Linked DNA regions of Oryzias latipes. The protein of the gene in region 5 binds, or shares a complex with, the protein of the main gene of each other region. Links are inferred from orthologs where the notes say so. Each region holds a gene or a part of one and is shown on either strand. Other genes may lie near its edges.

Evidence for each region.
Region 1: phf20 (region 5) and kansl3 share a complex: the UniProt entries of both Homo sapiens proteins name them as parts of the NSL complex. The link is inferred for Oryzias latipes from reciprocal best matches to the Homo sapiens genes PHF20 and KANSL3.
Region 2: phf20 (region 5) and ogt share a complex: the UniProt entries of both Homo sapiens proteins name them as parts of the NSL complex. The link is inferred for Oryzias latipes from reciprocal best matches to the Homo sapiens genes PHF20 and OGT.
Region 3: phf20 (region 5) and kansl2 share a complex: the UniProt entries of both Homo sapiens proteins name them as parts of the NSL complex. The link is inferred for Oryzias latipes from reciprocal best matches to the Homo sapiens genes PHF20 and KANSL2.
Region 4: phf20 (region 5) and KAT8 regulatory NSL complex subunit 1 share a complex: the UniProt entries of both Homo sapiens proteins name them as parts of the NSL complex. The link is inferred for Oryzias latipes from reciprocal best matches to the Homo sapiens genes PHF20 and KANSL1.

The regions. Positions count from the first base shown.
Region 1 is NC_019867.2:17,071,559-17,075,813, reverse strand, and holds the start of kansl3 (KAT8 regulatory NSL complex subunit 3), read left to right. Parts: upstream 1-1,447; 5' UTR 1,448-1,623; intron 1,624-1,910; exon of another isoform or gene 1,911-1,957; 5' UTR 1,958-1,971; coding exon 1,972-2,180; intron 2,181-2,301; coding exon 2,302-2,472; intron 2,473-2,560; coding exon 2,561-2,651; intron 2,652-2,957; coding exon 2,958-3,143; intron 3,144-3,230; coding exon 3,231-3,359; intron 3,360-3,475; coding exon 3,476-3,592; intron 3,593-3,673; coding exon 3,674-3,772; intron 3,773-4,095; coding exon 4,096-4,167; intron 4,168-4,235; coding exon 4,236-4,255. UniProt on the Homo sapiens protein: Non-catalytic component of the NSL histone acetyltransferase complex, a multiprotein complex that mediates histone H4 acetylation at 'Lys-5'- and 'Lys-8' (H4K5ac and H4K8ac) at transcription start sites and promotes transcription initiation.
Region 2 is NC_019868.2:18,366,194-18,370,258, reverse strand, and holds the start of ogt (UDP-N-acetylglucosamine--peptide N-acetylglucosaminyltransferase 110 kDa subunit), read right to left. Parts: upstream 2,810-4,065; 5' UTR 2,484-2,809; coding exon 2,447-2,483; intron 1,131-2,446; coding exon 950-1,130; intron 1-949. UniProt on the Homo sapiens protein: Catalyzes the transfer of a single N-acetylglucosamine from UDP-GlcNAc to a serine or threonine residue in cytoplasmic and nuclear proteins resulting in their modification with a beta-linked N-acetylglucosamine (O-GlcNAc).
Region 3 is NC_019865.2:25,923,632-25,927,875, forward strand, and holds the start of kansl2 (KAT8 regulatory NSL complex subunit 2), read left to right. Parts: upstream 1-1,436; 5' UTR 1,437-1,543; intron 1,544-1,588; exon of another isoform or gene 1,589-1,827; intron 1,828-3,618; 5' UTR 3,619-3,625; coding exon 3,626-3,876; intron 3,877-4,035; coding exon 4,036-4,208; intron 4,209-4,244. UniProt on the Homo sapiens protein: Non-catalytic component of the NSL histone acetyltransferase complex, a multiprotein complex that mediates histone H4 acetylation at 'Lys-5'- and 'Lys-8' (H4K5ac and H4K8ac) at transcription start sites and promotes transcription initiation.
Region 4 is NC_019877.2:19,812,661-19,816,172, reverse strand, and holds part of KAT8 regulatory NSL complex subunit 1, read left to right. Parts: intron 1-2,415; 5' UTR 2,416-2,483; coding exon 2,484-3,512. UniProt on the Homo sapiens protein: Non-catalytic component of the NSL histone acetyltransferase complex, a multiprotein complex that mediates histone H4 acetylation at 'Lys-5'- and 'Lys-8' (H4K5ac and H4K8ac) at transcription start sites and promotes transcription initiation.
Region 5 is NC_019863.2:26,145,578-26,149,844, forward strand, and holds the start of phf20 (PHD finger protein 20), read left to right. Parts: upstream 1-1,460; 5' UTR 1,461-1,632; intron 1,633-2,582; exon of another isoform or gene 2,583-2,691; intron 2,692-4,267. UniProt on the Homo sapiens protein: Methyllysine-binding protein, component of the MOF histone acetyltransferase protein complex.

The DNA.
Region 1 (4,255 bases), on a different chromosome or scaffold from region 5:
AACTTTGGAACAAATCATTAAAAAAGATAGTGAATGTCCCCCATCCCACTTTTAAAACTCACACAAAAAGGTCAAAGACCAACCAAAAGGATTTTTACTTCATTTTCTGAACCAGCAGAAGTGGTATTCTTGTTTGTTTCAACACAATGTTGCAACAGCTGTTTTTCCCCAAAAATTATACATTTTAAACTTTATTTTCACGGTGGCAGTTGTATCTCCCATGACGGGATGTGTTTTGTTTATTCAGTGGCTTGTCAAGAAAATAAAGAAAACAGAAGTGTCGTCAAAGTTTCTCATGCGGTTTTTGGTATTGATAAGTGATTTTTTTTTACTTCCAAAGAGGAACAATATCAATATAACAAAATAACAGTTTTTTAAAAGAAAGGGTGTCCATTTAACTTTTTAAAACACACATTTGGAAAAAAAAAAAAGGAGCAACGGTGAGCATCCTGTTATGGCTGTGTAAAAACAGCTAAGCTGTTCTGCTTATCATGTGTCTTCTTGGCAGATTGAAAGATTCAAGACTGGCTGAATAAACACTAAATTGTTTTAAACACAAACAAACTGCATATTTTTAAAGTTGTAAAGCAGTTTGTTCTGTTAACATTGTTCGTACGGCTGCAAAAACCATTGACTGTTGTTATTTTACTGCCCTGTGATGTGGTGCATCATCTACTGTCACTTGAACACAAACAAGACGGTGAAGAAAATGGTGGATTTAACTGTGGGGGAAAAAGCCTAATATACCTTGGATTTTTAAAAGTGTTGTGCACAGGAATCACAAAAGTCAATAATGTAGCTGCTCAATATAAAAAGAGAAGAATGGACATCATGTTTTGAGAAATTTCATAGGTTTTACGGAGCTAACATAATACCCAAAGCAGACTACTTTATCTATTTAGTGTTTTCCATCACTTCAAGTCTGAACAAATTTCTATTGATGTTGATAACCTTTTTAACCAACAACTAACATTTGACTTCAGTAGACCTAGGCCCCTACAATGACAGGAATGTCTTCTTGAAATGTTTGTCTGTGGATATGAAACGATCCCTGTATTGATAGGGGCCTTGCCTTTTTACAGAAATCTCACTTTTCTCTTTTTATTTCACAGAAAGCCTTCATTTGATTCTGACGTTGAAAAACTTTGAAGCAGCAAGTTGGTACTTTGACAGTGGGGTCCGTGATTGATTTAGTGCTTGTACACTGCGTGACATACACAAAAATACTAAATGTAAAAACTTTACACATAATTCAAATTGGACATGCTCCTATTAATTATGAATCCTAATTTCAACGTACTGGTAATCAAAAATCCGAAGATCCAGTTCGTATTTTGCGAGTCTCACACTGACGCGCCTTACTTGCTGGGTTGCCAGTTTCGTTGAAATACAGCCATGCCATGATGTTTCTTTTGTCCTCTCCAAAGAGAAGGATAAGGAGATAAACTTGGCAACAAACCACACAACAGGAGGAAGTGAGGGCTTGACGCTTGTAACATTGTGGTGATAGCTTACTCTCGTTTATTAACAAATTCCCCGTTTCCATTATTTTTTTATTTATTTTTTTCGATTAAAAAATAAATTCAGACTCCAATGGTCAGCATGGAATAGTCAAAGGAACAGGTAATCTGGGGGAAAAGGCGATAACGTCATTGCCTGGCTGTCAGAGCTAGTTGTGCTAATGTTAGCATTCTAGTTTTGCTTACCGCGCCGAATACGCCTTTACTCTTTAACTTTAGATTTTGACTTCACGAAAGCTACAAATAAGTAACTTTCATGCATTAATGTGTGTGATCACAACTGTTTGATACCTAATTTGAAGTTACTTTTGTTGAATGTAAGTTTTCTAGATGGTAAATATAACAGATCTCTGTGTATGAAGTAAAACAAAATTTTCTTTTTCCCGTCAGTTTTCTCTGACTGCAGGGTTGTTGTTTTTTTTCCTTGGGCCCTTCAGGGCCCAGGAAGAGGATGCATCGTGTGGACAAAGAGTTGCAGACATCAGCTCACAAGATGAGTACATCCTTGCTTTTCCAGCTGTCGGCTCATGAGAGAGAGCTGGATTTGGTGTTTCTAGACCACAGCTATGCCAAACCGTGGAATGCTCACCCAGATGCCAGCAGCGCACGCCCCACACGGACGCTTTTTGTTGCCCCCCGTCGCCAGCCTGAGCCATCATTGTGAGTTTGAATGCTTAATGAAATAAGACTTTTTTTTTTTTATCAGCTGGGTAGGACAAATGGATTTTTTTGCTCAACTATTTTTATGTTTTACATCTATACCATGTTTTCTGTTTTGCAGAGACTCTGATTCCCTGATAGATGTGGAGACGGTCACACCCTCCCCAGTTCCTTTGTATGATAACCATAAAGCTCTTGGTGTGATGAAGGAGTGCGAGCGACATGTTCTGTTTGCTCGAACAGTTGCTGAGAGCCCCCCACCCCCAGATGACTGGGAGGAACATATAAACAAGTAAAAGATAATAAACTCACATAAAACCAACACCATGAACATCAGTTGCAGTGATTTCAATTTGACTTTATGTTTTGTGGTATTTCAGGACAGGATGGTCGGTGGCACAAAACAAATTGTTTAATAAAGTCCTGAAAGCTCTACAAGCTGAGAGATTAGCACGTCTCGCCAATGAAGATGTAATGTATTTGATGAAAGTCTCTTTTCTTTGATTTGTTTTTCTTAATGATTCTTTTTTATACATAGAGGTAAAAAATCTAAAAGCTGGTGTATTGTTTATATTTATTGTAAACTTAGTCAACGATTAGACAGCAAAGTAATATATGCTTTTCTCCTGTTTTAGATTTTAAAAAATTACCTAAATTGAGAATAGGTTTTTTTTCTCTGTAGTCAGTGAGATTAAATTAAAAGAGAGAATTTCTGCAAAAATATTTATTTTGAATGAAATTGATTACTTGTTACTTGTATTGCCCTTTTCCCTTTAGGCTTCCAATGAACCCATTTTAAGAAGGATTGCTGTGGACAAGTGTGCCAGGAAAGTTCGACAAGCACTCGCCAGTATGAACTGGGACACCAAACTGACACAGTGGTTACACACCACTCTGATCGAATCTTTAAGCTTGCCGATGCTCGCTGCCTACCTTGATGTGTTGCAGACTCTCAAAACCAAGGTATGATCTTAGTGACTGGACAAAAAAAAAGTTTTTTTTTTGATGGATTTCCATCTTAATAATACATTTTTTTCTACACATGCAAAGCTGCCATCGTTGATAGACAGAATGTTACTTCCGACTGCAAAAACTGGAGCTCCAAGTGCAGAGGCTCTGTCGCTGCTACTGAAACGTCCATGGGATCCGGCTGTCGGGGTTCTCTCTCAAAACAAACCGGTAAAAGCCTCAGACCTCAGTTCCTGGTGTGACAATAGCATTGTATGACTTTTGTGTTTACCTCAGCAAATTCTGATTGCACAATCTGTATCCCTGTCTGTTTTTGATTGTTTCAGAGTAAGCTTCCAGGATCTCCTCTCATCCTTATTGCCCCGTCAACCCCATCCAATCCGGCTCTTGCCACAACACGGCGGATGAGGTTCTGGCAGTCCCAGCTCTCCTGCTTGGGAAAGGTCTGAAACACATTGAAGTCTTTGTGATATTCGGATTATTGGTGTCAATTGCTAAAACAACAACAAATGATTGTGTTGCAGGTGATCCCAGTGCACACTCACGTAAACAGTGGAGCCAGTATTAGCATCACTCAGTGTTTGGAGCACATGCTTGGGACTGTAAGGGCAAAGGTCATGGAGGTAGGGGATCTTTATGATTGATTGTAAAATTAATCAATTTGAGTGCAGCTTTTTTGTTTTTAATAGGCATGTGGAAAAAAATCTTACTGTATTTTTTTTTCTATGTTTGGTTGCTTTCTTAGCAATTCATCAAAAACAGGATTTATCTTAAAGACATTAAGTTTATATAATAAGAAACATTCAAGTTTTTCCAACCAAAAATATTAGTGAAGTTAAAATGAAAGTACCATATGGATTGTATTTGCAATACAAACGTATCTTTTAATAAAAATTGATGTCTGCCTTCGGCAGCTTTATTCATGTGCTGCTACTTTTGCCAACAGGTTCACAGTCACTTCCCCCACAAGCCCATCGTGCTGGTTGGCTGGAACGCCGGCGCTCTCATTGCTTGTCATGTAAGACTTGGAAGTTATTTAAAATCTGAATTCAGTACATTCTTTAATTTGCTGCTGTTGCATTTCAGGTTTCTCTGATGGAATATCT
Region 2 (4,065 bases), on a different chromosome or scaffold from region 5:
ATACGCGTATTGCACAGCTTGATATCGCAATAATGATACATTTGTGACTTATTGTGCAGGCCTAATTTACATCATGCTGTCTGCATTCTGACTTTCTTCTAATGAGAGTGGATATAAAAAAGGAGTGTTTTCTACAAAAGAAGCACCCCTCAGATTTGTGACAAATGTAGAGTTGGCCTGTGCTTTCAACTGGAATAAAACTGCCTCAAAGTCTGCCATATGATCAAAAAATGTCCCTTCTATGTTTGCAGAAGCTGTAGAAAAATAAAATACAATCGTCCAGACAAACAAAACTGCTTGTGCTACTTCAAACGAGTTAACAATAATTTCAAAACATTTAGATCAGTTAATCTAGGTTTTTTATAAGAAAAATAGTCATTACAGTTATTACAATTTGAGTAAATTTGGAAGTTAAATATGTACTGAATAAAGAGGCAAAAGACTTCACTCTAAAGTTTTGAGACAATTTATTGTTAATTAAAATAAGGCTGGGGAGGCCAATTACAATAAGCTTTGTGTTGACTTTAGTTCAAGGTTTATCAGTTCTGTCGGTGATTAGAGTGAAAATACTAGGAATAAATGTGTTGCATGATTAAAATTCTCTATACTGGAAACAGTATGGTAGATGCTGATTGTCGATGATTTGTGACTTACCTAAAATCATATCTATTTTATGTGTTCTTGTCAAATTTACCATCTCAATTTTATTTAGCATCTACTTGAAAACAAAAACATGTTTTCATAACTGGAAATAAATTCAGGTGTCAAAGGATTAGGGAATCATCAATAGAGGCCTCTTTAAGAAGTAGAAATAGCACCTCAGCTAAAAAACGGCTGGTTTCTTCTAACAATAAAGAAAGTGTTGGAAATACCATTTCTTGATCCTTTCATTTGTAAAGCCCTTCCATTCTGCTGCTCTCATTTGCCAGCCTGTATAAAGTGTTCTCACCTGTCAAGTCTTCTGCACTGGAAGTGAATGGAGGACAGCAGCAATAACACTCCAGTATTATCAGGCTCCTGCCTCCACAGCTGCATGCAGTGGCGCTCGGCCGCCTCAAAATCTCCTGACTGATACTCCCGGTGTGCAAGCTCAGCCAACCCTTGGAAGGAAAGCATACGTTTTGTTGGTTCTGGACAACCAACACAGGCCAAGGAGGGGGGAAACGACATGTTAGAGGTGATGAAAGAAAATAAAGACGACAAATGAAAAAACAGGAAGAAATAAAAATAGAAGCAAACATGACAATGTTTGTATTAAAATAAATGCCTGACAAATGTAACTTCAAAATGTGATAATGGGTAAAAATGATGACGTCACAAGAGGGAACATAAGGGGGACACTTCACAACTTTTATACAAACTATAAGCATCTGTACATATAAATTAATTACAATTTAATGTATATAAAAAATGCACACTGACGCTTTTTTCCAACTAAGGAAACGCATAATTTATATGTCAGACTAGCTTTTCCAAAATGCAGAGTAAACGAAAACGTTATTAAGTCTATTCGTCATCAAACAGGTGCATCTTGATAGAGAACAGGGAGATTGTGGCTCCACCTACTGTAGCATCTACGTCACTGCTACAAGCTTTTTCCAACAGCATTTTTATCATCTGCTGCTGCTAATTCACGATTGAATTTTAATCTTAAATTTCTTTACATATCATCCATTATAAGAAAAATGCTACACGAACAAGTTAAAAACACGATTTTCATCGAAGTGGGTCTTTATTGTGGGGGTGGGGTGTGTGGAAAAAAACTGCACCACAACGCACGCAAAATCTGCTAATAATCGCGTTAAAGTTAGTTTATCGTTAAAACTGAGCTTGTTCGTCATTTTCTAATTTTGAAAAACATATATCCCTAACATTCGCCGTCCCTCCCAAAAAAAAATGAATTAAAAAATAAGATATCTTTGAAGGCATTTTAGTAGGACACTTCATTTCAGCGCCCTTTATTGCAAACCGAAACGCCCCTTAGCTGGCGGCCATTTTCTCAGACAAAAACCACGAGATAAATGTTCAGTTTAGGATTTAAAAAAATAAAATGTATGAACATAGTGACGCCCAAGGAGGAAAAATGTTGCAGCGCCAAAGATTTAATCGTTTCCTACCCATTTAAACGTCACATCTACAAATACCAACGCTAGCTCGTCTTGACTTAATACTGTTTAGGTTAAGACGCCAAATGAAGGAATATTCGGTACAAATTGGCGAAAAATATAATAAAATAGCCTTATTATAATATATCTATTAATACATATAAATTGGTACCGTGGTGTTAGAAGAGCGGCGCTACTGGTTTACATACTAGCATCCTCATTTACCTTATTGCTGTGGATTACCAAAAGGGTCATTGTTAGATTAAAATTTACTTTTAAAAACTATTTTAAATCGTTGCTTCTTTCTAAAGGAGGTGCTTTTATTTTTTTGAGCCACTAACCTGTACTGTCTGCCACGTTTCCCACAGAACTCGCCATCTCCCCAGCAGTCTTCGTTTCTTGCACGGCGGTCGTCAATGTGTCGTCTGGGAGCTCACAGCTTCAGAGAAAAATAGATGTATTTCTTATAACTAACTGTGGTCTTTCTGAGACGAAAACTGAAAGCACGTTGTTGTCTGGCTAGGTAGACCGGGTTATAGTTACCTACTAATCTCGTATTCAGAATAAATTTCCTAAAGCCCTACCTTAAAATGCCGCTGTTTGGGTATATTTACACAGATAATGTAGTTACTGCACCTACATATGACATAAAAAATATACCGCTACCGTTCACGATATTCTATCTGCACAACAAAGCAGCTAGTGAACGTAAAATGGCGAATTGGGTGGAACTCGTTTTTGTGATCAACTAGATCCTGACACCGGCATTGATTGAAAATAATAGTTGGGCATTAATACATGTGACTATAAACCCAATATACATTATTATTTTTATTGTATTAAGAAGTTATACATATACATATATATAACCTGATGTAAAATTATACACTTAAGGTAAAACCACGCGGAAGAATACAATGGTGCAGTGAGACTCAAACGGTAAAAGGAAGCAGCACTGCTCGGAGGTATCTGAAAGAGTCACGTGTCAGCTGTGCTGCGAGGAAGTGGAAGGTGCGCTGGTCTAGTAACAAACACATCAACATTACATAACCGTGGGTTGTTTGATTTCTTTTTATTTTCTTTTAGTTCTTCTTGTAGTTTTATTTATCTTTTTATTTTATTTTAGTTCTTCTTGTAGTTTTTATATATATAGACACACACAAAAAACATATTCAAATACACACAAAAGAAGTTCAGATAAGATTTGTAATTCCAGGGACATTTAACAGGTGTTAGCTTTTATTTTATTTTTAACTGCAAAGGGTATTTTCTTAATGTGTAAAGCAAGCATTAAATGTACAATCTACTGTTAAATATCTTTCCACATAAATACTGTTTACTAATCCTTACTAGTTACATATATTTTGTCAACTGATTTTTTTTTAAACTGTAGCCTGATGGATAGAGTTCTGGTTAAATCAACATCAATTGCTATGTGAAGGAAGTTGCCAACAGGCTCAGTTTACATTGAACATCACTGACAGGATGTGTTTGCACCAGAATAACTATTCTTCTAATCTTCAAGTCCCGAGCTTAAACAACTTTATTTCTATTTCTTTTTAAAATATTTCTAGGACTTGCAGTATGTTTATGGTTTTTTTCAACCAAGCAATTTTCCTGCAAGATTAATCGACATCTTCTAACACATCTTATTTTTTGCCAATATTTAATGTTTTTCCTTAATATGTTTTGCCAACATTGATATCCAAACATAAACCCTTGTTTTTCTTTTCTTAATTATGTTTAAATTAATTAGTTTTTGTTTTAACCAAATGTTTTTTAACCCTGTTTTTGCAAACAGCAAATGTACATTTAAGATAAAAAAACAAACAAACTCCTGTTTCTGACATATTAAAAATGTTGCTGGTGTGCTGATGCTGTGATCTGTCATAAATTTGCAAATAAACCAGTTTACTGCAAATTTTAAAATCTACTGTTTACCCTTTTTTCTCTACTGTTT
Region 3 (4,244 bases), on a different chromosome or scaffold from region 5:
CTAAAAGTGTATCGGCTCATTTGAGAGTGCATGTTTCCAAAGCCATCTTCAGTTTTTAGTTTTCTTTCTTTCTTTCTTTCTTTAAAGAGCCATATAGAAATGATAGCCCTGGGCGTTCTGTTTTATTTTATGGACATTATTGGGTTAACATGAAAACAAAACTGCAGTATGTGTAAAAGAATATTTTTTGGACATTTTGTTATGGAAAATTGCCAAAAAAAAAATGGAAATGTAAAGTAAGGAAAGCTTGTACATTTAGTCTTTTTTAAGTGTTGCAGTCATTGTTTTAAATGGTTGTGAAATATCCATATTCAGTTCTCCTATGAATACACTTCATACTAAGGACATGCATAGAACTCGTCAGAGGTTTAACATATCCACCCATAATGGTCATGATGAAGGACTTGTCAACAAGATAAATGGGGAAAACGTGACAATATATTTCTGTTTCATGAAATGTAAAGGTTTTTGATGATACTTTTTAGCACATAATTTAAAGTGGTTGCTATGTGCATTCCTCAAAAACCTTTGCATGCATAATATAATTGTGTAAAATGAAATTGTTGTTAAAAATACCTCCATTGCAGGACCCTGAGTATAATGAGAAATGAATGTTTTCTATTTTGTATAAGCGCTCAACAGTGGAAAAGTTCAATTTGTTGACAAGAAATCTGGTATCTCCTGTACATTTCACACATGTAGCTTATTATGAATTTTAGTCCACCTGCTCCTAACTGGTGTCTTTTTTTTTTTATAAAAGTTTTTATAAAAACAAAGCTGTTTGGAGTACATCAAACCAGCCAAACTAATGTAAGATATTGTTTTCCCTTGATGAATTAAAAGTGTGCTGAAAAAAGGTCTTTACTTGGGCAGTAAAGGTTTTTGGTTGTAACAGGGAAATGGTGAATGCACTGAATTTTAATTTTTTTTTTCCTGCTTATGCAGTTGAATTAAGTGTTACATTTTCATGGTTAAAAATAGTGTGGATTTCTGGTGCGTCCATTTAAAACATGCTTTATTTTGATCTAAGAAATAATACATTCAAGTATTAAGGATACATGAAAGCTATTAAAACACGTTTTATAGCAAAACCATATAACAAGCCCAAGACACGTGTGCAACCTAACAATGCAAAAATCACAATTACAACATCCTAAGTTATGTTTTTTAATGTCAGGTGTTTTTATTGGCTCTCAGGTCTAGAATTCAATTTGTTTTCGTTAAAAAGGTATATGTGAACACTGATCTTTTTTATATATTGTGGTTGCTTTATTCTGAAAGTCAATAAATATATTAAATATCAAAATTAATGGAGTAATCAGTCATTTTCAACTGAATTGTATTCACTGCGTCGGTCAGAGGGCGGTTACGTGGTCTTTTGAGTTACATCTAGACTAGCCAATGAACCGTCTCCTGGAGTAACATTTCGACCAATCAACTTCAAGGAGGTGGGGCTTATTGACATCACACAAAGTCCAGCAACGATTCAGGGAGTGCAGGCAAGTCGTTGGAACGGCAGAGTTAGCATATTGCACAGCGGAAGGTAGGCAGTTTTTCACAAAAAGCGATGCGTTTCTGCTACTATTCTGGGTCTGAGACATTTTAATAATGACATGGTAGAAGACAAACCACTGTTTTATGTTTTCGAATTTGATTTAATAGCCTGGAAATGTTAAAAGGAAAGGATAGCATGTGGTTTAGCCGGCTAGCAAAGATGGCGCCTCCTTAGCCTAGAGGATGACGCAGTAGATGGAGGCGGGCTGGAGCGCCTTTCAGCGCGTTGTTCGAGTCAAACAGACGTACTTACGTTTACGTCGACATTTACATGTATGTAAAGTCTACTTATTTGGTTATAGTGGGTTATTTTTTCTTATTGTTAATATTATATTATTAATATTTTATTTTTTGTCAACATAAGCATACATACTGACACACTGTCTGCAAAAAATTAAAAAGGCTAGCTTCTGTGTGACTGTTGTTGCGTTATTGTTGTTGAGCTGGTTGACCCAACGTGTCGGACGTTTACCCCTGTTTTTAGTTTCTGTGGTTTAATGTTGGAGCAGCAATACACATATATTCAGACAGAGCGATCAGTTTTTTTCTATGTTATGTTATTTAGCGATTTACTTTGGCCAATTAAAAGATTATAGGTGTTTTGATTTTTTCATTGTATTTTGAAAGCAATGGATCTAACTATTTTTTTGGTGTCCGTGTTGCCATAAAGTCAGTTTCTTGTTGAATTTTGCGAATTACGAAATTAATTTTAATAAAAAGAAGACATGGTGGGAAAAGGTGGTTGAAAGAGAGCAATGATTTGACAATTTTGCCTTACTGATGCTTCTTTGTCAAGATTAAATATCCCCCTTTTTGTCTTGTTATGGTTTTCACAACAGTTTAACATAAACGTGTTTTATTCAAATTATTGAAAAATAGTTAAGGGTAAAGAAAAAATGTAATTTCTTTCTTCTTTTTGGGCTATATATTTACCAAAATATATATGTAATATACCGCAATCATATCTGTAAAAATAAAAGTTATAGAAATCTTGTCTTTTTTTATTTCAACGGGCCTATATTATTCAAAAATCACTTTTTTGAGCTTTTAGGTGTAGTAAAATGTTCATTCCTTATAAAAAATAACCACAAGGCGGTATTTTGACCCATTGACTGATCTCTGAGTATTCCTCCTAAAACCTGCTGTCTGAGCACCAGCCCCTCCCAATCCACAAAAACAAGCTGGTTCTCACATTGTGATGTAACAAAGTGAGGCAAAAGTTTGGATCTTGTTTGTTTTCGTGGGAGAAACGCACTCTAGGTCAATGCCATGAATTGGGGGGCACTCATATGGAGCAAAAGGGGGTTACTTATGGGTAGGAAAATGAGCTGCAAAAATACCTAATATTTCGTTTAAAAAAATCATTTTTTTTTGTGCCAAAGGTAACGTATCATTTAAATGCTTATTGTTTACTCTGAAAGGCCTTAAAAATAGCACGATATAGGTCCCTTAAAGTAATGTTTTGCTTTTTATTCTTAAGATTTTGGTTCATTTTTCAATAAAATACATTTCTTTTGTCTTGACACAGAAAAGACCACTGACTTCTTTCTAAGGGTTAAGTGTATGTATGTATGATATCTTAGCCTTTTTAGTAATACTTATTCTGGGCTAAATCTAGTCTTTGACCTCTTCATGCTGTATGTCACTATTTTTGCATCAGCATCATTTTCAATGGAAAAAACATTCTGAATGATAATAGGGTTAGGCATGAAGAGGCTTTTGTTTTCTTCTTAATTTTAAACTGTTATTTTTTTCAGTAGAAATTTATTATTTTCAGCATCACAGAACCAAAGAATTATGAAAAGCAGAACTTGTTGATGTAAGATCTGCCAAAGTTTGTGGTTCAGATTTAAAATGCAAATTATCAAAGTGTCTAGAGTAAGAGGTAAAAGATGTGTATGTTCCAAAGATTCAGAAGATATTTATGTAAAATTTTAATGCAATAAACCTTTAAATTTATTATTTTCTGTGGTTTAAGAATACTACTGGATTATTTGTTTCTTAAGTGATTTCTAAAGTAGTAGAGAAATATGCTTAGTTTAAGTATTTACTTTATTTTCCCAGACTTGAAATGAACAGAATACGAATTCACGTTTTACCCTCAAGTCGTAACCGGACAACCCAAGCAAGCCGACCCCAGGAGCCCCAGGTCTGCTCCTTCACCCAGCGACCATGTTCACAGCCTCGCTTGGAGGGTCTGGAGTTCTGTATGAAACACATTCTGGAGGACAAGAACGCCCCATACAAACAGTGTAGCTACGTCTCTGCCAAGAATGGCAAGCGCTGCCCCAATGCTGCGCCAAAGGCCGAGAGGAAAGATGGGTGGGTGGAAGGTCATTTACATCAGCTGGCAAAAGAATGAAACAGCAGTTGTATTTCTGCCCTGTGGAAGCTCAGTCACAGGGCAATAAGAAAATCATGTAATAAACAGTCTGTTTGCTGCTATTAGCCTAATTTATACATTTTTTTTTTTTTTGGTAGAGTAACATTCTGTGCGGAGCACGCTCGTAGGAGCGCCATGACCCTCCGAGCGCAGATGAGGAAGACTTCTTCTGGTCCATCTCCAGAGGCTTTGTTGTCTCAGCTCAGTAGCTACAGTCGTGGAGAGACGCAGAGTCAGGACGGAGGGCGCTCCGAAGCTAGCCGAGTTCTTGGTGAGAAACTTTGGCTTCATTCTGAGGTTTTTGACT
Region 4 (3,512 bases), on a different chromosome or scaffold from region 5:
CTGTTGCGTGAATTCGTTTTGTGTTGCGAGCGGAATGGGTGGTTTTAGGCAGATGGATTGCATTGCATAATCTGCTTCGGAAATACCAACATGGCGTAGTGCGCGCTGACTAGAAACTGCGGTGAAAAACGGAGCTCACATTCATCCGATCCTGCAGAAGATGCGCGGAGGCGCATCTCTTATCTGTTTGAAGGGAGGCTTTTTCAAAGTTTCTCACAGGCTTTCATTCTAGTCAAACGCATGTTAATCACCAAAACTACGTAAATGCAGTCTGTTTTCCTTTGAAAATCATTTTTGAGTTTTTTTATTTTTATTTGACAGTATTTCATGTTTAAGCCGCTCTGTAAATGATACTGGAAACCTGTTAAAATGACATCATGTGCTGTGCTGCATACTGACTTGACAAAGCACATGTAGGGCAGTAGGGTTTGGACTGTTTGCATTGGCTTCTGTTGTTCTCATCAGATATGTGCTGCCAATCCCTTTTTCCCTTAGATGCTTTCTCTTTTAGGAGGGGCTCTGTCAAAAAAATGAAAATAAATGCTTGTTTTTTTTTCTTTAAATAGTTGTTTGGGTGTAATGGGAATTATTTATTCACCTGAAATTCAGCTCGCTTTGTGCTGTTATTCAAACTATCTGAAGCATTCTCTTCCACAAGGTCAGAGCAGATCATTTCCATGGCTTTGTTGGAAAGTTGACTTCTTCACTCAGACATTTGGGAAAAATAATGTAGTAAACAAAAGACATATTTTTTCATCTTGAGTTGTTTAAATGTATTTTTGTCAGCCAGAATGCAGAAAACATTGCAGTGACTTTCATTTACATTCAAAATTTCAATTGCATTTTCTCCCAAAACTTTTGTGATCATGAATCGACTGCAGTTTAAATTGTGTATCATGACATTGAATATTGACATTTCTTCTACTCGTATCAGTTGTAGTGATTTTCCACTAAGTCTTAGTGTGTCACAGAACCTGTTATGCCACTTTTATGGTCTTATGTTGTATATGATCACTCTTTATTTGTATTGTTTTGTGACAAAATGTATTTGTAAAAAATGTATTGTAAAGCATATTTGATTATTTTGATTTAGCTTTTAAAAAATGTTTTTGTTCTAATTTGTTAAAATAGTCAGCACATTTCAATAAAGTATTTTCCACACTGTAAGGCGAACTTAAAGGCCTTCGTTTAAAAAAAACAACAATGTACTTTACAATCTGAAGCGCTTTACATATAGATACATTCTGGTTGTGTTATTGTGAATACGCTAACATGGCTATTGTGTAGCTTTGCCTTACTATTTTTTTTTAATCATGTTTCAGTTAAAAAGGTTGGGATTTAGTGTAGTCACAGTAACATTTGTTTTAGCTTTATTAGTCTTTTTTATGTTGCAAACAAGGTTGAGAGTTACAGGTATCATGAATATGCTAACGCTTCTACCATGGCTAACATTTAGCATGCTATAAACAAGTGCTACAGTTACTGTGAATGCAAGTCTGACTTACTGAACTTAAAGGCCTGTTCACACCGGGACGAATTTCGCCGGCGATTTTCGCCGACGTTTAACGCCTCGTGACTAAACAAAGGGCCCCAATGAGAGTGTGCACACCGACGCGAAAAAACGCCAGGCGTTAAAGCGTCAAAAAAAAAAACGCCTCGGGTTCGTTTTTTTTTTTCGTCGCGTCGAAATCTACTCGACCAATGAGAACGGCGCTTTTGCTCATGTGTCTGGAGCTTCTGAAATTACAGTAAAACACAACTTGGGGGCGCTCAAACACAAAACTGCCTTGCTGAGCACACATACCAGCGAAGAAGATAGACGCCAAGTAGCGTCTACACAGCCGCGAAGCAATAATGACGGACATTCTAAAACATCCCCGAACCAAGTACCAGTTGGAGCTACTGGTGCTTGAAATATTCATGTTTTCTTTGTTTGATTCTGACAAGCGTGTAAATACTTGCTCTCTTCTTCTGAGTGAAAAGCGACTTTAAGAAGCGTAAAGTTGCGCAGCGCCACCTTGTGTACAGGAGTATTTCTGTTTTACATTAAGCGCCATCTAATGTCAGGGAATGAAATTGCATGTTCACTCCACTCATCGTCAGCGAAAATCGCCTGGGTGTGAACACAAAAAACGTGGCGAAAAACGCTGGCGAATAACGCCTGGCGAATATTCGTCCCGGTGTGTACGGGTCTTAACTCTGACTCTTTAGTCTCACTTAATGGCCTTATAGTTTAGTGTGGTTGACAGTTTTGGTATCTTTTATTTACCTTTGGCACATAAATATCAGTATTTTTACTCTAATTGTATTATAATGGGTAAGAACTTGGAATTTTATGTTACTACAGAAATATTTCAACTTTTTTGATTGACTCTTTTTTTCTGTCACTCTGTTTTCCTCCACGTCTTTTCCCAGGCTGTCCTCAGGTGGGGCAGTAAGCGGGTGGAGTGGAGCAGGCCGCGGTGCCCGTCCCTCTGCACTGCATGGCTGCGATGGCGCCCGCTCTCACCGACGCCCCAGCTGAAGCTCACCACATCCGCTTCAAACTGGCTGCCCCATCCTCAAGCCTCTCGCGAGCCAGTGGAGAGAACAACAGTAACGCCAGCAACATCCTCATCCACAGCAGCGGCCCCGCTAAGTGCAAGGTCACTTCTGAAGAGTGCCCCCTCGACTTTTGTGGTGGTGATCAGGAACAGCAGCAGCAGCCTCAAGCAGACTCTGTGTCTCAGGCCTCTGCCCTGGGAAAACTCCAGCCACTGGTGGCTTCCTATTTATGCTCTGATGTGCCACCCGTCTCTGCAACTAAGGAGTCAATCAAGCTGCAAGGAGTCATTCTTAAACAGTCCGTGTTGAAAAACCACAGAATACTGCCCACCTCCCTGCTCAACGGTGGGGGAGACTTCATCTTGAGGAAGAGGCAGGCAATCGAGCTCTCTGGTGGACAGTTAAAAAGCCTCATGAGTGGCAGCACCAACGGAAGTGGCCAGCCCATGGCACCTGTCAATGGTCTGGCCAAGAAACTTGCCACTGTGTCAGGCTCTAGCTGTGTGGTTGCAGTGAATGGTGATAAGCCCGCTGCTGCTGCCACGGACTCCCAGTCCCAGAACATGCCGCTGGAGTCGGAAACCATATCAGGGCATACTCCTGTGAAAGGAACCCTCAAACAGAAGCATTCCACAGAGGTTTCTCAAAACACAGATGGAGAAAATTTTGAATCACCAGTGCTTCATTCTGCTGCACTTTCCCCTCTTACCTACGACAACTCAAACTCCTCTGAACAGTTAAATTTGGAGGAATCTGGTTCACATGCACCTTTCAGACAGCTTCAGGGTTCTGACAGAGAGAGACCGGGTAGCAGCCATCAGGGCTTTTCGCCTTGCACCACAGCGCCGCAGCCTCCTCTGCCCGGTGGTTCATGCACAGACGGCCTTGATGCTCAAGTTAAACAACGTACACTTCTCAACAGCAGCCGCCAAGCAGAGATTGAAAACAGGTTACGGCGCCTGCGCAAA
Region 5 (4,267 bases):
CCACTTCTTGAGTTGTGTGTGCATGTGTGCCTTTTTTGTGTTTACCATCTGAACATGACAGTCATTCATAAATAAAAGGTTTCTTCAACTGTAATGTATGGAATCATGGTTAGTTATTACTGCTATTGGGATTGTAGAAGGAGGACCGTCAATTTATTTATAGGGTAACCAAAACTACAGCAAAAAGATTATTGGGCTACATTTTTCAAAACATGATTTTCAGTAAAAATTCCAGAAGAGAAATTAATGTAAACTGCACTTAAAAAAAAAGCAAAATCTTTGCTCTATATGTGTTCATACGTTCCAACGTCTGCCTGTAGCCCCATCACATTAGTAGAACATTTATTAGCTGAAAATGGAAAGTCCACAAACTCTACTATCAAATGTATGCATAATCTACACTATAATACCTTGAAGGAAAAAACTAACAATGCAGAAAAAACAATCTTTGATTTGAGACAAGAATAGAGAAAGGAAAGACATTCAGGAAACTACAACTATTTTGGGGGGGAAATAGAAATTGTAGAAATATTTAAAGGATATGGTTTGTCTTTTATTGGTTGTTTTTTTACACCAACAGCACAAAAATTACCAGTGTAACCACTTCAAGCAACAAGAGAAAAATAACATAGCATTTTTCAGATTATGGAGTGGAAGCCAGGTCATGTGATCTAATAAATGACATAAAACGACTCCATATTCAGCCTGTTTTGACCTGTACGTTGATTATCTTAGCGATGATTAGACTTGTCTCTGTCATGAGTTCAATCCAATCCTTGTATTGAGGCTTGTGGAAACCTTTCCAATTCCTTAGAATAAGCCTCCCAGCCACCATAAATTCAGACCAAAACTGTTCTGATGGGAATCCAGGGGGTCTAGCAGACTGATCTCCTCACAAATATAGTTCTGGTAATATACAACTGCATTTTCTCTTCAAGCCAGAAAGGAAGCACAGAGGAACATTACCATAATGTGTGAGGATTCAAGGAGTACTGCCATTTTCAGTAAACAGAACAGTTTCACTGTCATTTCCAATAGTTATTGTCTTGCAGCAATCACATCGTAAACAACTTTGATGTAGTATTGTAATAATGGTGCACAATTTTTTATAATGAATACATATATTTCTGGCATGAGACTGTCTTTTTTTTCCAGCACAGTGTAAATATTTAATTTTTTTGTTATTCTCTTGTTAAAAAATGTCAACACAAGTTAATTTGCTATATAAATATACGTATTTACTTTATTTTAATTAATTTACAACTGATTTGCAAAAAAAATATGACTGATTAATCCTAACTTTTATAGTACGTATTATTTATTTCATCCTTAAAGATAGGTATTTTCTTTAGTTATATCTTTTCTTGGTAAACATTCAAAATGATAAACAAAGCATGTTTTTTAGGAATGGAATGACAACAGAAAGGTTCTCATTGAAAACATGACAGCGTAGGCCGGTCTGTCGCGCATGCGCATCGTAGCGCTACTTTGCCCGCGCCGGTAGAGCATGCAAGGGAGAGAAATTCAACTGCGTGGTACGGAGCAGCCAGGCGGAGGCAGCGGTACCTGCGCTTTTGACGGGTTATATTGCATATTTTTCACCCGACCCGTCAAAGACTGACTGGAAAGCAGGTAAAAATCTAAAATTTTGCCCACACCGTAATTTCTAGGCTGCATATGGTGACAAGGCCCGCTCGGTGAGTGCTTCCCAACGGTTTGACTGATGCCGCACGTTGGCTTTCTGGACTTCAAAACAAACGTGACGAAGTAGCTTCAGAAATGTCTGTTGACATATTCACAAGCTGCATTCGGGCGGTTAGTTAGATATATGCAGTGTCCCTTCGCGTTGGGGCTGTTGCTTCAAGTCTCTAGGTGGTTTCTCAGTTGGACAAGTTTGTTGATTCGCGTCTCCATGCCGCTCTTTTCATAGTAGGAAAAGTACGGAGAAGTAGGCCTAGCGCGAGGCCACAGCGAGCCTTGGTGAGTGACAGGCTACTTGGCCAATCCAGTGTTAACTCCCGCCCCCATGGCAACCATTCCACCATTCATGTTTGTCGAAAGCACGTGACGTCAGTGTGCTTTCTTCGCGCTACGCCCTCTGATTATAAAACACCGGACAATAAACTGTCCTTAACGGATCAAGTGGTCATCAGCAGTATAATGTAATAATTGCCAAACATTGTGATTTTTTTTATTTTAGATATTTGTATTTTAAGATGGCGACTGCTTTAAATAGTTGAAGTGCGCTATAAGTACAATAGAGTTGTAGACTGGAGGGTTTTTTATTTTATTTTTTAAATAAAACAAGCTAATCTGATATTTAAAGTAAATCACCTTTTAATAATGTAGCATTAATATATTTCCTGCCACAGGGCATGGTTGTTTCCGAAGATGTCACACCGGTTGCCCCCGGTCCAAAAAATAAAATAAAACACATATTAAATAATGTGTATCGTTTTGAAGTTTATATAAGTCAACACGCTTCTGTGCTTGCATATGAAAAACATACATGAAACGTTAGAAAACCACAACAGCCCTTTCTATTGTCTTCTATTGTGTCTATACGTGAATTGGGTGAGCAGAAAACACGTGGGTCGGGTGGTGTGAAGACATCCGGTTTGTAGGTTGCACTGAAAGCAAGCTACTCCAGACTCCACCGGCTATGGCGAACCGAGTCATTCCCGGACCAGAGTAAGATTTATCCATTTTTATAGCTTGTTGCCGTCTTTCTAAAGCCCTCCTGTTGTTTGTGATGTGTGATTGCGCTGCAAATGGAGAGGCGGGATTGCTGTTGCCCCCCCTCGCCGAACCGCCGAGTAGACCCGCCAAGGCCTATGTGATTGCAGAATGACTTGGAATATCGGTATTAGACCGGCGCTTAACGCCTTGTAGGGATCGTTTAGTTGTTTTTTCTTTTACATAAATCCTTCCGCTGTTTATCCGTAGCGATATGACTTTACGGTGATTGAGCATCAGACAATCCTAATGTCGCTTATCATGTTGTTACCTTACCAGGAGATTCCTTTCCTGTGGATAATCATACATGTAGACGACGATGCTGCAGCTATGAATCACCTCAGGAGTCGGTATTTTCAGATTTAGACACAGATGTCCTCTTCTTCAGTTTTGATCAAGGCTCTCCAGCTATTGGCCACATAAATACTACTCATTTTTACATTTCCTCTTTATGCAGCCCCATGTTGCAGCACGTGCAACCTGCAGTTATTTATTTATTTATTTAGGTAATTTACAGTGGAATTATTTTGGCCAGCATTGAATTCAAAGACCCACTCTGGTAGAAAATGTTTCTGGTGATTTCAACATGTCCTAATGGTATTTTTTTTAAGATGGAAGACCAATATAAAGAAAATGAATATTAAAATTGCATTTCTGAATATTTCTTCATTAATATTGTTGTGAATCAAGAGCAGATGAAAAAAATGCAGTTTGAAAAAGAGCTTATTTGTGATATAGAAAATACACTGGGCGGGGTCTGCTGCATTCTGATGCAGACGACTAGATCCATGTACCATTTTTTTCTGCCCTATAAAGTGCTCTGAATTATAAGTCGCAGATGCATAAAAGGGGTATGGGGGCATAACGAAGAAGACAAAAACATATATGTTGCACTTTTAGGAGAAATTTAACAAAATGCTGGCCAGTAACGGATATTTCATCTTGAAAGGCAAATCATACAGATTAGAAAATAATAGACTGAATATATGCACGTTTCACCAAAATAACTCATTGATAGATATTTATATTCATGAAACATGGGAGGATTTTTGTATATCAGTGCAATATGTGAAGAATTTTAAAACAACCACAACATAAAGAACATAATAAATCGACTATGCTCTTTATGTTCTATTTCAGTTCACTAAATTCATTGAATTCTTCATCCTCCGTGTCCTTTGGAACTATTCCACCAAGCCCAGCGTGAGACTGAGTGGTGCTTCTTCTTCTGCATTGCAGTCAATAGCAAATAGTGATACACACACCTACAGTTCCCTCTGGATGTTTTTAGTGGGACAATGACAAATGTATGAACCTCTTTATTTAAAAAAAAATCACATGAGTTGTACCCCTGGCTAAACCTTGCAAATAAAAAAACTGACCTGTATTCAGTAAATTACAGTTCGCCTTCATTTTCTTCGTCTGAGCTGACATCTGGCTCAAAACTACAGCTGGATAGCTCCACTATTGCCTTCTATCTATTATTTTATTTTTTTGCACTGGTAATGTTAGGTTGGGGTTGTGAGGGGCT